Linked DNA regions of Anolis sagrei. The protein of the gene in region 1 interacts with the protein of each later gene in a pairwise test. Links are inferred from orthologs where the notes say so. Each region holds a gene or a part of one and is shown on either strand. Other genes may lie near its edges. The genes, in order: MYOG, EIF4E2 and POLR2C.

Region 1 (3,754 bases):
ACTTATATGAGAACAGACTGTCCTGGAGATGATTTGGTTTCAGACCATTCCGTGCTATAAAAATGAAATCAGCATCTTGGATTGAGCCCTGAATTTATCTGGCAACTAATGGTATTGAATAAAAAAAAACCACATGGTTGTGTCATCTAACCCTTGCAAGAATGCTGGTATAGCTGTAGGGTGGCTTGCTGGCATTTTTTAATAATACACTAGTCTAGAGCACATTACAGTAATCTAGCTAGAAATGATTGGAAGTAGAATTCGTTTTGCCTAAGAGTCCTACTTTTTATGGACTGAAAGTACTTTTAACAGCCTCATGGATGGCAATAATCAAAAGGTGAAACTATTCCATTACTGAGCTGTAACATCAGGAAAGTTTCACCTGTTGACTTTCTGCTTTTTACAAAATGTTCGAGGCACTGAATTTCTTAAGAGTCCACAAAGAAGGGGTGTTAAATTTAAGCACGCCACCTAGGCCAAAGTAGAGCATGAGGTCTTGGAAAGTGGAGTGATTCTTCCTTGCTTGAGGAGAACAAATGGACCTGCCTTTGTGTCTATGCCTGTGCCTTGCTCCTTTCCAGAAAGGGATGGATGGCTTCGAAGCTGGCAGGGAGCAGTAATTGAAAGGAGCAGATGAGTCAGGAATGCTGCACAGAGCTGCCAGCTAAGGGAGCTGACTGATCATCAATATCATTGTAGGAGAGCAAGTGAAAATAATCCAATGGGGCTGTTGTTTGAGAGGCGGCTGGACTTCTCTGGAGCACATGCCAGATCCTCCATCCACTCCCCCCTCCGCCCACCCCACTTTAGCCACAGCACTGCCCCAAGCAGCAGACTAATCCCCACAGGGAGAGTACATGAAATCAGATGGACAAGTTTTGATGCGAAGCAGCAGCTTAGGGCAAGCTCAGGTTTCCTGGAGGTTTGCTATATTTATCTCTGTGATTTAATGCCCGCACAGGGTTTAAATGCCACCAAGCAGTTGGTGTGAGAGGCCTGCGTTTCACTCCCCAACACACGCTCTGCCTTGCCAGACGCTCACCATGGAACTGCTAGAGACCAACCCATACTTTTTCACAGACCAACGGTTTTATGATGGGGAGAACTACCTGAGCCCTCGCTTACATGGCTATGAACAGACAGCCTACCAAGACAGAGCAGCTGTGAGCCTGTGCTCTGATGGCAGGGTTGGGGTTGAGGAGAAGACCTCCTCAGTCCTGCCAGACCACAGCCCTGGACAGTGCCTGCCTTGGGCATGCAAAGTATGCAAGAGGAAAAGTGTCTCCATCGACCGGCGCCGTGCTGCCACCCTGAGGGAAAAGCGCCGGCTGAAAAAAGTCAACGAGGCCTTTGAAGCTCTGAAACGGAGCACTTTACTCAACCCAAATCAGCGGCTTCCCAAGGTGGAGATTCTGCGCAGTGCCATCCAATACATTGAACGCTTACAAGCTCTGCTCAGTACCCTCAACCAACAGGAGCGGGACCAGCGGGAACTACACTACTGTAACAACAACAACCAGCCAGTGGTAAGTGCCAGGGGAAGGGGACAGGTCATCACACAGTCATCCAAGAGCGCAGCAAACAGCTACTGCATCAGCCTTTCCTAGAGAATCAGTAGCTTGACCGCCTTCAACAATATATTCCCAAGTCCAAACTCTCTAGCTTCTATTATTGGCTGCCACTCTGCCTATTCTCCAACAGTCATATATAAGCAAAGTCATATAAAGGTATTCGTAGTTTTCTGTAGATGTTACTACACTGTAAAAGGATAGCAGAAGTGCACTATGGTCTCCAGATATATTTGACTAACATCCCCATCAGTCCCAGGCAACATGATCAATGGTTTAGAAATTATGAGCATTATAGTTCAAAATCTGTAATGTATAGGGTACTCCATGGTGGGTGGGCTGGGAAGAACCATGTCTCCCAGTGTATTCTGGTAATGTATGTGGCTTAAGGCGACTGAAAGGGAATTGAACATTTTCAGAATTTGATATGGCTGGAGAATTATTTTCTTTCTACACAAATATTCCACCATTTAAAACTATACATTTCAGTTTTCATGTCCTTTATAGCTTTCATATTCACAGCTGACACAGGTAGAGGGTATACTTCCAGAAATATATGAATATTACTATATTGTTTTTCTCTATAAATGCAGCAGTGACTGTCTTGGTCTGTTCCTTTTAAATTAGTTGTGCATAATATAGTGGAATTGTGATAGTATTAACCTGCCTAATAAGGGTATTGCATAATGAAGAATTTTGGAATAGATGTATCCTTCCTTATCTATACTGCAGTTTATCAAAGGTGGGCATGAGTCACAGGACAAACTGGCATCACCCCTATAACCCAAGTGACTAGTGGATGGGATTTTATTCCAACAGATGGTACCTCAGGAAATGAATTCTAATACACATGCCAATGAGGAAGGACTTGGACGCTGGACACCTGTTGAGTTCAAATGGGTTACTGGGTATCTCCATTTAAAGATTTACAAGAGCATTTGGGTACAAGCCTTCAGTCCTAAGGGACAAAATACTACAAGATTGAATTCTGGGCTTCTCCTATAAGGCTCTCCAATATGTTTACAGCTCCTCCTTTCAAAGCATCCTTTCGGATTACTACTCTCTTATAATTGCTGAACAAAATGAGTAAGACCATTGTGGAACAGTATGTATTGTGAAAGGGCTCTAGTGGCAGTAGACATTTTGACTAGCCATTGCTATCTCATGTTGTAAACTTGCCCTCCGAGACTCTTGGAGCAGGTAGAAAACCTCTCACCTCCTATCAGTAGGATAAATTTGATTTGGGTTGTGTTTAGTTTCAAAGAATAGTATGGCTTTCCCATTTTCTTTCCAAATATCTTATTCTGAAATAAGTCCTCACATTTTGTAGGCTGAATGTTCATATACTGCCCAAAACAAGCTTGGGAATGTTCATCCAGCCTGGTTTGAGAACAGAGGAAAGTTATGAACAGCTGCAGGCTGTATTCTCTGTTCTTTGTCTGCTTCTCAATCTGTCTACTACATGTTCACCTAGGCTGTTGGCATTGGATTCAATTTCACAGGAGATCCCTGTAATGTACATTTGCAGCACTTTATAGACTCAGAAGACAGCAGCAAACCACAGCCATATCAGAAATTGTTTGTCTCTGTGTTGTTGTTGCTGTTTTCGATTCATTGAAGGTGAAAGACCCTTTAATTGGTGAAGCCGAGATTGCAATGATCATGCTGGTTGAGGAATGCTGAGAGTTCTGGTCTAAACAGAATCACCTTTCCCCAAATCTAATGCAGTCAAAGTGTGAAACCAGTACTAAAGATCTCCCATTTTCTCATTCAAGGTGGGTAGTGACCATGGACCCAGCAGCACTTCATGCAGTCCAGAATGGAGCACCCAGTTGGAGTTCAACACTCATCCAGGAGGTAAGACCATATTGTCTTCTGGGAACACAAAGGTCTAACCCTTTTTGCTCTTTAGAGGTAAGGACCATTCTGGTAGGATCTACACTGCTCTATATCCCAGGATCTGATCCCAAATTATCTGTTTATCCTATATTAACTAGACTCATATAATCCAGTTCAAAGCAGATAATCTGGGATCAGATCCTGGGATATAGAGCAGTGTAGATCCAGCTTCTATTAATCCTAAGTTCTCCTGCTCCGCTCCATCTTTAAAATGCATGTATGTGTAGAAGTATTTTACCATGATCTGTTCTAGAACGGGGGAAAACACAAATAGTATTGGGATATCT
Region 2 (3,754 bases), on another chromosome or scaffold:
TAGGGCATATCGATGGTCACTGGGAAAATAGCCAGACACATTTAGGTTTCTTATTAGATGTTCCTGGTGTGCCATCACAATAATAATTATTTATTTAATAATAATAATAATAATAATAATTTAGATTTATTTTTATTTTATTTATTTAGATTTATTATCTAAATTATTATTTTATAATAATAATAATATAATTATTATAATATTATATAATAATATTGTAAATTATAATTATTATTTATTTAATAATAATAATAATAATTTAGATTTATTTTTATTTTATTTATTTAGATTTATTATCTAAATTATTATTTTATAATAATAGTATACTTATTATAATATAATATTATAAACTATAATTATTATTATTTAATAATAATAATAATAATAATTTAGATTTATTTTTATTTTATTTTATTTAGATTTATTTTATTTTATAAGGAATGATGTCCTGAGTTTATAAGTTGAGATCTAGGTCAATAATCAATAATCTTATTAGTTTACAAGTTGAGATATGTTTAAACAGGGGCTCGATGGCCATCTGTCAGGGGTGATTTGAATGCAATATTCCTGCTTCTGGGCAGAATGGTTGGACTAGATGGCCCATGAGGTCTCTTCCAACTCTTTGATTCTATGATTCTATATGTTTATGAGAAATGTTGTCCTAAGTTTACAAGTCGATATATATAAGAAACAATGTTCCAAAGTGAACCCGGAAATATCACATCTAGAAGTACAGAGATACCACTCTATATGTTCTATCTCTGCCTGTCGGGGAGCGGTCTTTCGAGTCTTTCGAACGCGGCTAATTTTACAACCATAGACAACTCGCGGCATAAAGAGCGGCCCACAGGAAGTAGTGTGGCCTGGATTGTAGTCCCGGGTCCGGGTGGAAACAGCAACCGGAAAAAGATTGGTTCCGCCTGGGCGGAAGTGAAGGGAGCGTATGGAGGCAGAGGAGCGGAAGTCCGGGGCAAGAAGCAAAGCAGCGGCTGGCGAACGACCGAAGAGGATGAACAACAAATTCGACGCGTGAGTCCGGGCCTCAGTGGCGCTTTTAGGCCTCAAGGCAACATCCTAAATCAAAGGAAGGAGCAGACAGTTTTCAATGGCATTCCTACAGGCCTGGTCGAGTTTGGGCCTGCCCTCCAGGTGTTTGGGACTCCAACTCCCACAATTCCTAATAGCCGGTAGGCTGTTAGGAATTGTGGGAGTTGGAGTCCCAAACACCTGGAGGACCCAAGTTTGGAAATACTTGTTTGTAAATATAAATCAAAACTTGTGATTGGAATGGCTTTTGGACTATGATTTCAGGGGTTATGTGCTATATCTCAACTGCTTATTTAAATATATTTATTTGTTGCTCTTTTATGATTTAATGCACAATGTATTTTGTATGTTGTAATGTAGCACTGAATTATTGCCAATTTGGAAGCCGCTTTGAGTCCCCTTCGGGGTTGAGATAGAGCAGGGTAAAAATACAATAAATAAATAAATAAATAAATAATAACCCCAGAAGAGCGGCTTACAAGTCATAAATACATACAACATACTACATAATACATAACTACCATAGTACTATTACATCATTCATAACACTAGTACTACATAATATTACATTATTGCTGGGGGAGGGGCGCTGATGTCACAGGGGACAAGATGGCAATGTCCTCCTGGCTCCCCTTGTTTATTCTGGCCCCAGAGTGGCCGTTGGTGCTGGGCATTACAGCAGGAATTGGCCCTGGATTGATGAATATGATTATTTGACTCTCTGGCTTTGGATCTATGCACAATAGTCATGTAATATTTACATATGTTGTTATAATGTTGTTTTAAATGGTTGATTAATTGCTTTTAATTGATATTGCTGTTTGGGCATGGAATAATGCCAATTATGTAAGCTGCCCTGAGTCCCCTTTGGGGTGAGAAGGGTGGGCTATAAATGTCCTAAATAATAAATAAATAAATATCTCCTGACTTCTTCCTATGTCCACATTAGGGAATATTACAAGATGAAATTGTCTCTTTTGGGTGATTTATTAAAGTCTGATTTTGTGTGCATAGATTTCCCCCTTTGACTGTGTCTGGTTGTGCTGTATTTTTACACACATTTGAAATGTGCACATTTTTCTGTTAGCCACATCTGCAGCCATCCAATAATGAAGCACTTTCAGATCCAATCTATTTAGTTTAACATCTAGTGAAGTTGAGTGCAATGGCTTTTCCCTTACCTTACCATTTACCTTATCTACACAATGTCATACAGTAGGGATAGGTAACTAAGTACTAAAGGTTGAGCATCTCTTATCTGAGATTCCAAAATACTCCAAAATGCTCAACATGAGTGGCTGGGATAGTTACACTGCTGCTTTCTGGTGGTTCAGTTCAGTGTACACAAACTTTGTTTCATACACAAAATTATTAAAAATATTTTGTATAAAATTACCTTCAGTCTATGTGTGTAAAGTGCATATGAAACATGAATGAATTTCACATTTGGACTTCAGTCCTACCTCCAAGATTTCACATTATGCATTTGCAATGATTAAAAACCAAAAATACCCAAAATGTGGATTTCCTGGTCCCATGCATTTCAAATAATGGATCCTCAACTTGCATTAAAAACTGCACTTGAAATTGGTGTAAACACATGCATCTGTTCAGTTCATTCTGTGTGTTCCCATTTTCCACGACTCTGAAGCTGAATTTGTCCATGTTTTCCCTGCATGTAAAACCCACAAATTCTTAGGATGGTAATGCAGAAAAGTTCTTTTATCACATTGAATCAGTGGTCTGAAATTGTAATCCATGAGCTATTTTGGAATTTGGTCCCTAACTAGTTTTGCCAATTCTTAGAAATTATAGAAGCTGAAGTCCAAAACATGTGGAGGACCAAATTTTCAGAACTACCCGACTGAACAGAAAAGGACAAGTAACAGGACACTTGTTCAGCATCCAAAGTGCAATTTCTGCTTCTTTTAAAAATCTCTGCTCTGTCTCAGTAGCCTGAATCCATCAGTCTGGTCTAATAATAACCACAGTCTGTCCTTTAGATTTTGTTCTATGCTAAACATAGTTGCTCCTTCATGCTTTCAAACTGATTCCTTCCTTCCTTTCTTTGCTAGTTTGAAGGATGATGACAGTGGAGATCATGACCAGAATGAAGAGAACAGCACACAGAAAGATGGTGAGAAGGAAAAAAACGATAGAGACAAATCCCAAAGTAGCATCAAGAGGAAGGTATGTCCTTGCCTCTTCCCTAGACTGAAGTGTCTAGTGGAGGATTGTGACAGGGGGGTTTTAACCTGTTGCTCCAGAACCAAGAGGATACCTGTGAATAAGTCATATTAAAGCCCATCAGGCCTCTATTCCATTTATCTCCTTGTGAAAGAAAACAGTGCAAACTTTTCCAGTGTGTTGATTTTGAAAGCAGAATCTGTAATGCAGGTAATACACCATTTCTACAGTTCACTAGAAGGATTGAGTTGTTGATGTGGAGATTTATTTTCTAAAGTCCAATTCCCAATACAAGGAGTTCATTCACACTACCTCAGAGGATGCTTGCCATAGATGCAGGCGAAACATCAGGAGAGAATGCCTCTAGAACAGGGGTCCTCAAACTTTGTAAATAGAGAACTAGGTCATAGTCCCTCAAACTGTTGGAGGGCCGGATTATAGTTTGAAAAAAAATATGAATGAATTCCTATGCACACTGCACATATCTTATTTGTAGTGCAAAAGACACTTAAAAAGAATA
Region 3 (3,754 bases), on another chromosome or scaffold:
GCCCATCCCCTGTTTGGGTATCAGCCAGCACGTCAACGACTTAAATCTAGAAATAGTTTTCTAAGATCTACAGAGACACTCACTGGAACACCTCAGCAAGCGAGAGTCCAAAAATGGCAGTCCCAAACCCAGAACCTCAACCAATGGCTGATACCAGATGAGAGACTTCCCCCTGGGCACACAGAAGACTGGGCGACTTGGAAGGTGCTGAACAGACTGAGCTCTGGCACCACGAGATGCAGAGCCAACCTTCAGAAATGGGGCTACAAAGTGGAATCCACGACATGCGAGTGTGGAGAGAAGCAAACCACTGAACACCTGCTGCAATGCAACCTGAGCCTGGGAAAATCCCCTGTTGAGAGGTGTTAAGATGTGCCTGGTTGTTTCCTCTCTGCTGTTTTGCTGTTGTAATTTTAGAGTTTTACACAGAGAAGCCATTGAAATCCACAAGCATGTGGACAATTTCAACAGAAAGGAAGAGACGATGAAAATGAACAAAATCTGGCTACCAGTATTAAAAAACTCTAAAATTACAACAGCAAAACAGCAGAGAGGAAACAACCAGGCACATCTTAACACCTGTCAACAAAAGATTTTCCCAGGCTCAGCCAGGCCTTCAAATGCTAATGAAGGTGGTCATTTGAAACATTCACACCTAGCTCCAGCAGAAAAGAGCTCTTTGCCCCACCCAAGCCATTCCACAGATATATAAACCCATTGTCCTAATTCCAACAGACTTCACTACCTCTGAGGAGGCTTGCCATAGATGCAGGCGAAACGTCAGGAGAAAATGCCTCTAGAACATGGCTCTATAGCCCGAAAAAAACCACAAGAACCTAGTGATTCCAGCCATGAAAGCCTTCGACAATACCTATAAGCACTGTTATCCCGCTTTGGCTGCCATGGCAACATGCGAGAGGGCAATGAGGCCGGCAATAGGGGCCTCTCAGGCATTCCAAGGCCTCGCCACACCACAAAACCCCTCAAAACGTTGCCAAGGTATAATATTATAGCCGGGCTATAGTAAAGCAGTGTGACAAGGCTCTCGAGAGGAAGAGAGAGAGAGAAGGGAGCCTGGAATGGGAGAAGAACCGCCTTCCAGTCAGCGAGGGCCTACCTTGCTTGCTTCCTCCCTGTTTCGCCGCCGACCGCCGCCTGGAAATGACGTCGGCGCCGCTCTGCTCCCCGATTGGCGGAGAGCGCGGCCGGCGTCTCCCAGCAGCCCCCGCGGCTCTCGGCGTCCGCGCCAATCCCGGCCTCGTTCCTGCTGCGCATGCGCCGTGGTGTTTCAGGCTCTTGCGGCCTTGTTTGGGTCTCCCGCCAGCCATGCCTTACGCCAACCAGCCCACCGTCCGCATCACGGAGCTCAGCGACGAGAACGTCAAGTTCATCGTGGAGAACACGGACTTGGCGTGAGCGGGGGCTTGTGTGGAGGAGGGGCAGGGCCTAGTCTGGAGAGGGAAGCCGGGGCCTAGAGTGCTTCTGCTGCCCCACTCAGGCACGGAGGCGTCTCAGGCCACCTCCTGGGCTTGGGAAATAGTCCCATATTATTATTATTATTATCCCCTACAAAATGTTTAGACAAAATTTTTAAGACTAACAGATTTATTTATTTATAGCTGTCTCCTGCCACGCGTTGCTGTGGCCCTCCTGTATATATATGTATTTGTGTGTATATATGTGTGTATATATGTGTTGCATATGTGTGTGTGTGTGCCTATGTGTAAGGTAAAGGTAGTCCCCTGACATTGTTGTTGTTGTTCATTCGTTCAGTCGTCTCCGACTCTTCGTGACCTCATGGACCAGCCTACGCCGGAGCTCCCTGTCGGCCGTTACCACCCCCAGCTCCCTCAAGGTCAGTCCAGTCACTTCAAGGATGCCATCCCCTGACATTAAGTCCAGTCATGTCTGACTCTGGGGTGTGGTGCTCATCTCCATTTCTAAGCCGAAGAGCCGGCATTGTCCGTAGACACCTCCAAGGTCATGTGGCCGGCATGACTGCATGGAGCGCCGTTACCTTCCCGTCGGAGCGGTACCTATTGATCTACTCACATTTGCATGTTTTCGAACTGCTAAGTTGGCAGAATCTAGGGCTGACAGCGGAAGCTCATGCCGCTCCCCGGAATCGAAACTGCGACCTTTCGATCAACAAGCTCAGCAGCTCAGTGCTTTAACCCACTGCGCCACCGTTGTGTATATGTGTGTGTATATGTGTGTGCTTGTCTATATGCATATTTGTTTCTATATGTGTGTGTATGTGTGCATGTGTATATTTGTGCATGTATATATGTGTGTGTATGCAGATGTATGTGTGTTTATAGTTGTGTGTGCTTGGGTATATTTTTATATGTGTGTTTATGAGTTTATGAGTATATGAGTGTGTGTGTATGGTGCATTTTGGGGTTTTTAAGTCTGTTCTGCTAGGGGGGGCTGTATTTTTAGTGGTGATGAACACTCGTTGGACTGTTAGGTGTATTGTGTCAAAAATTCGTGTCAATTCGTCCAGGCCGCCCCTGCCACACGTTGCTGTGGCCCACTCTGGTGGTCATGGGGGTTCTGTGTTGGAGGATATAAATACATATAATACTGCTAATAATAATAACAATGAATATTTCTCTGTTTTTCTTTTCCAGAGTAGCTAATTCCATCAGGAGAGTGTTCATTGCTGAAGTTCCCACCATCGGTATTTATCTATTCTTTATTGTTTATCTATTAATTTATTTTATTTTAAACATTTATATTCCACCCTTCTCATCCCGAAGTGGACTCAGCATATATACGGCAAACATTCAATGTTGGGACTCAAATTCTTATATGTATACATAAACAGTATGTTAAAGTCCAATACTACGAATTGAAGACTTTGAGCATGATTAATCAAATTGCTATTATCTCATTTTGTACTATTTTGTTTGCAGCCATAGACTGGGTACAGATAGATGCCAACTCCTCGGTCCTCCATGATGAGTTCATTGCACATAGGTTGGGTGAGTAACCGGCATAGGACACGATAGGAAAACACAGGCTTCTCTAGTTTTGTTTTTAAAACAATATTTTATTATGTGCGTAATTCACATAAAATACATTCCAATGCTTTGATGCCGAGCCTCTTTCTAACTCTGGATTTTTCATAAAATAGTGTAATGCCCAACACATTTAATTTTTCAGATTGTACTAGCATTCAACATTATTAATTACATTTTTAGTAATATCCCCAAGTTTTTCCTCTCCTGCTATATTTTTCTTATGTTATATGCCCTTTGGGAATTCTGGATCCTGTTTATTTATTTGTCGTGTCAGAGCAACCAGTCCATTATATTACATTTCTAACAGAACAAAGCAAACAAACAGACAAATACAAAACTTGTGAGTTTGGTAGTTGGTTAAATGTCCTTTGATGGGTATCTGGCCACTTGGAGTGCCTCAGGTGTTGCTACAAGGAGGTCCTCCCTGGTGCATGTGGCAGGGCTCAGGTTGCATTGCAGCAGGTGGTCAGTGGTTTGCTCCTCTCCACACTCGCATGTTGAGGATTCCACTTTGTAGCCCCATTTCTCAAGGTTGGCTCTGCATCTCGTGGTGCCAGAGCGCAGTCTGTTCAATGCCTTCCAAGTCGCCCAGTCTTCTGTGTGCCCAGGGGGGAGTCTCTCCTTTGGTATCAGCCATTGGTTGAGGTGCTGGGTTTGAGCCTACCACTTTTGGACTCTTGCTTGCTGAGGTGTTCCAGCGAGTGTCTCTGTAGATCTTAGAAAACTAT

What was found.
Region 2: the proteins of MYOG (region 1) and EIF4E2 interact in binary tests that used the Homo sapiens proteins (3 or more experiments, as listed by UniProt). The two-hybrid records come from large-scale screens. The link is inferred for Anolis sagrei from reciprocal best matches to the Homo sapiens genes MYOG and EIF4E2.
Region 3: the proteins of MYOG (region 1) and POLR2C interact in a two-hybrid assay, tested with the Homo sapiens proteins (2 studies listed by BioGRID and IntAct). The link is inferred for Anolis sagrei from reciprocal best matches to the Homo sapiens genes MYOG and POLR2C.

What each region holds. Positions count from the first base shown.
Region 1 is NC_090024.1:206,029,691-206,033,444, forward strand, and holds the start of MYOG (myogenin), read left to right. Parts: upstream 1-823; 5' UTR 824-968; coding exon 969-1,526; intron 1,527-3,343; coding exon 3,344-3,425; intron 3,426-3,754. UniProt on the Homo sapiens protein: Acts as a transcriptional activator that promotes transcription of muscle-specific target genes and plays a role in muscle differentiation, cell cycle exit and muscle atrophy.
Region 2 is NC_090023.1:265,351,133-265,354,886, forward strand, and holds the start of EIF4E2 (eukaryotic translation initiation factor 4E type 2), read left to right. Parts: upstream 1-920; 5' UTR 921-943; coding exon 944-1,029; intron 1,030-3,122; coding exon 3,123-3,237; intron 3,238-3,754. UniProt on the Homo sapiens protein: Recognizes and binds the 7-methylguanosine-containing mRNA cap during an early step in the initiation. Acts as a repressor of translation initiation.
Region 3 is NC_090028.1:6,444,160-6,447,913, forward strand, and holds the start of POLR2C (DNA-directed RNA polymerase II subunit RPB3), read left to right. Parts: upstream 1-1,255; 5' UTR 1,256-1,273; coding exon 1,274-1,412; intron 1,413-2,633; coding exon of another isoform or gene 2,634-2,638; coding exon 2,639-2,683; intron 2,684-2,918; coding exon 2,919-2,987; intron 2,988-3,754. UniProt on the Homo sapiens protein: Core component of RNA polymerase II (Pol II), a DNA-dependent RNA polymerase which synthesizes mRNA precursors and many functional non-coding RNAs using the four ribonucleoside triphosphates as substrates.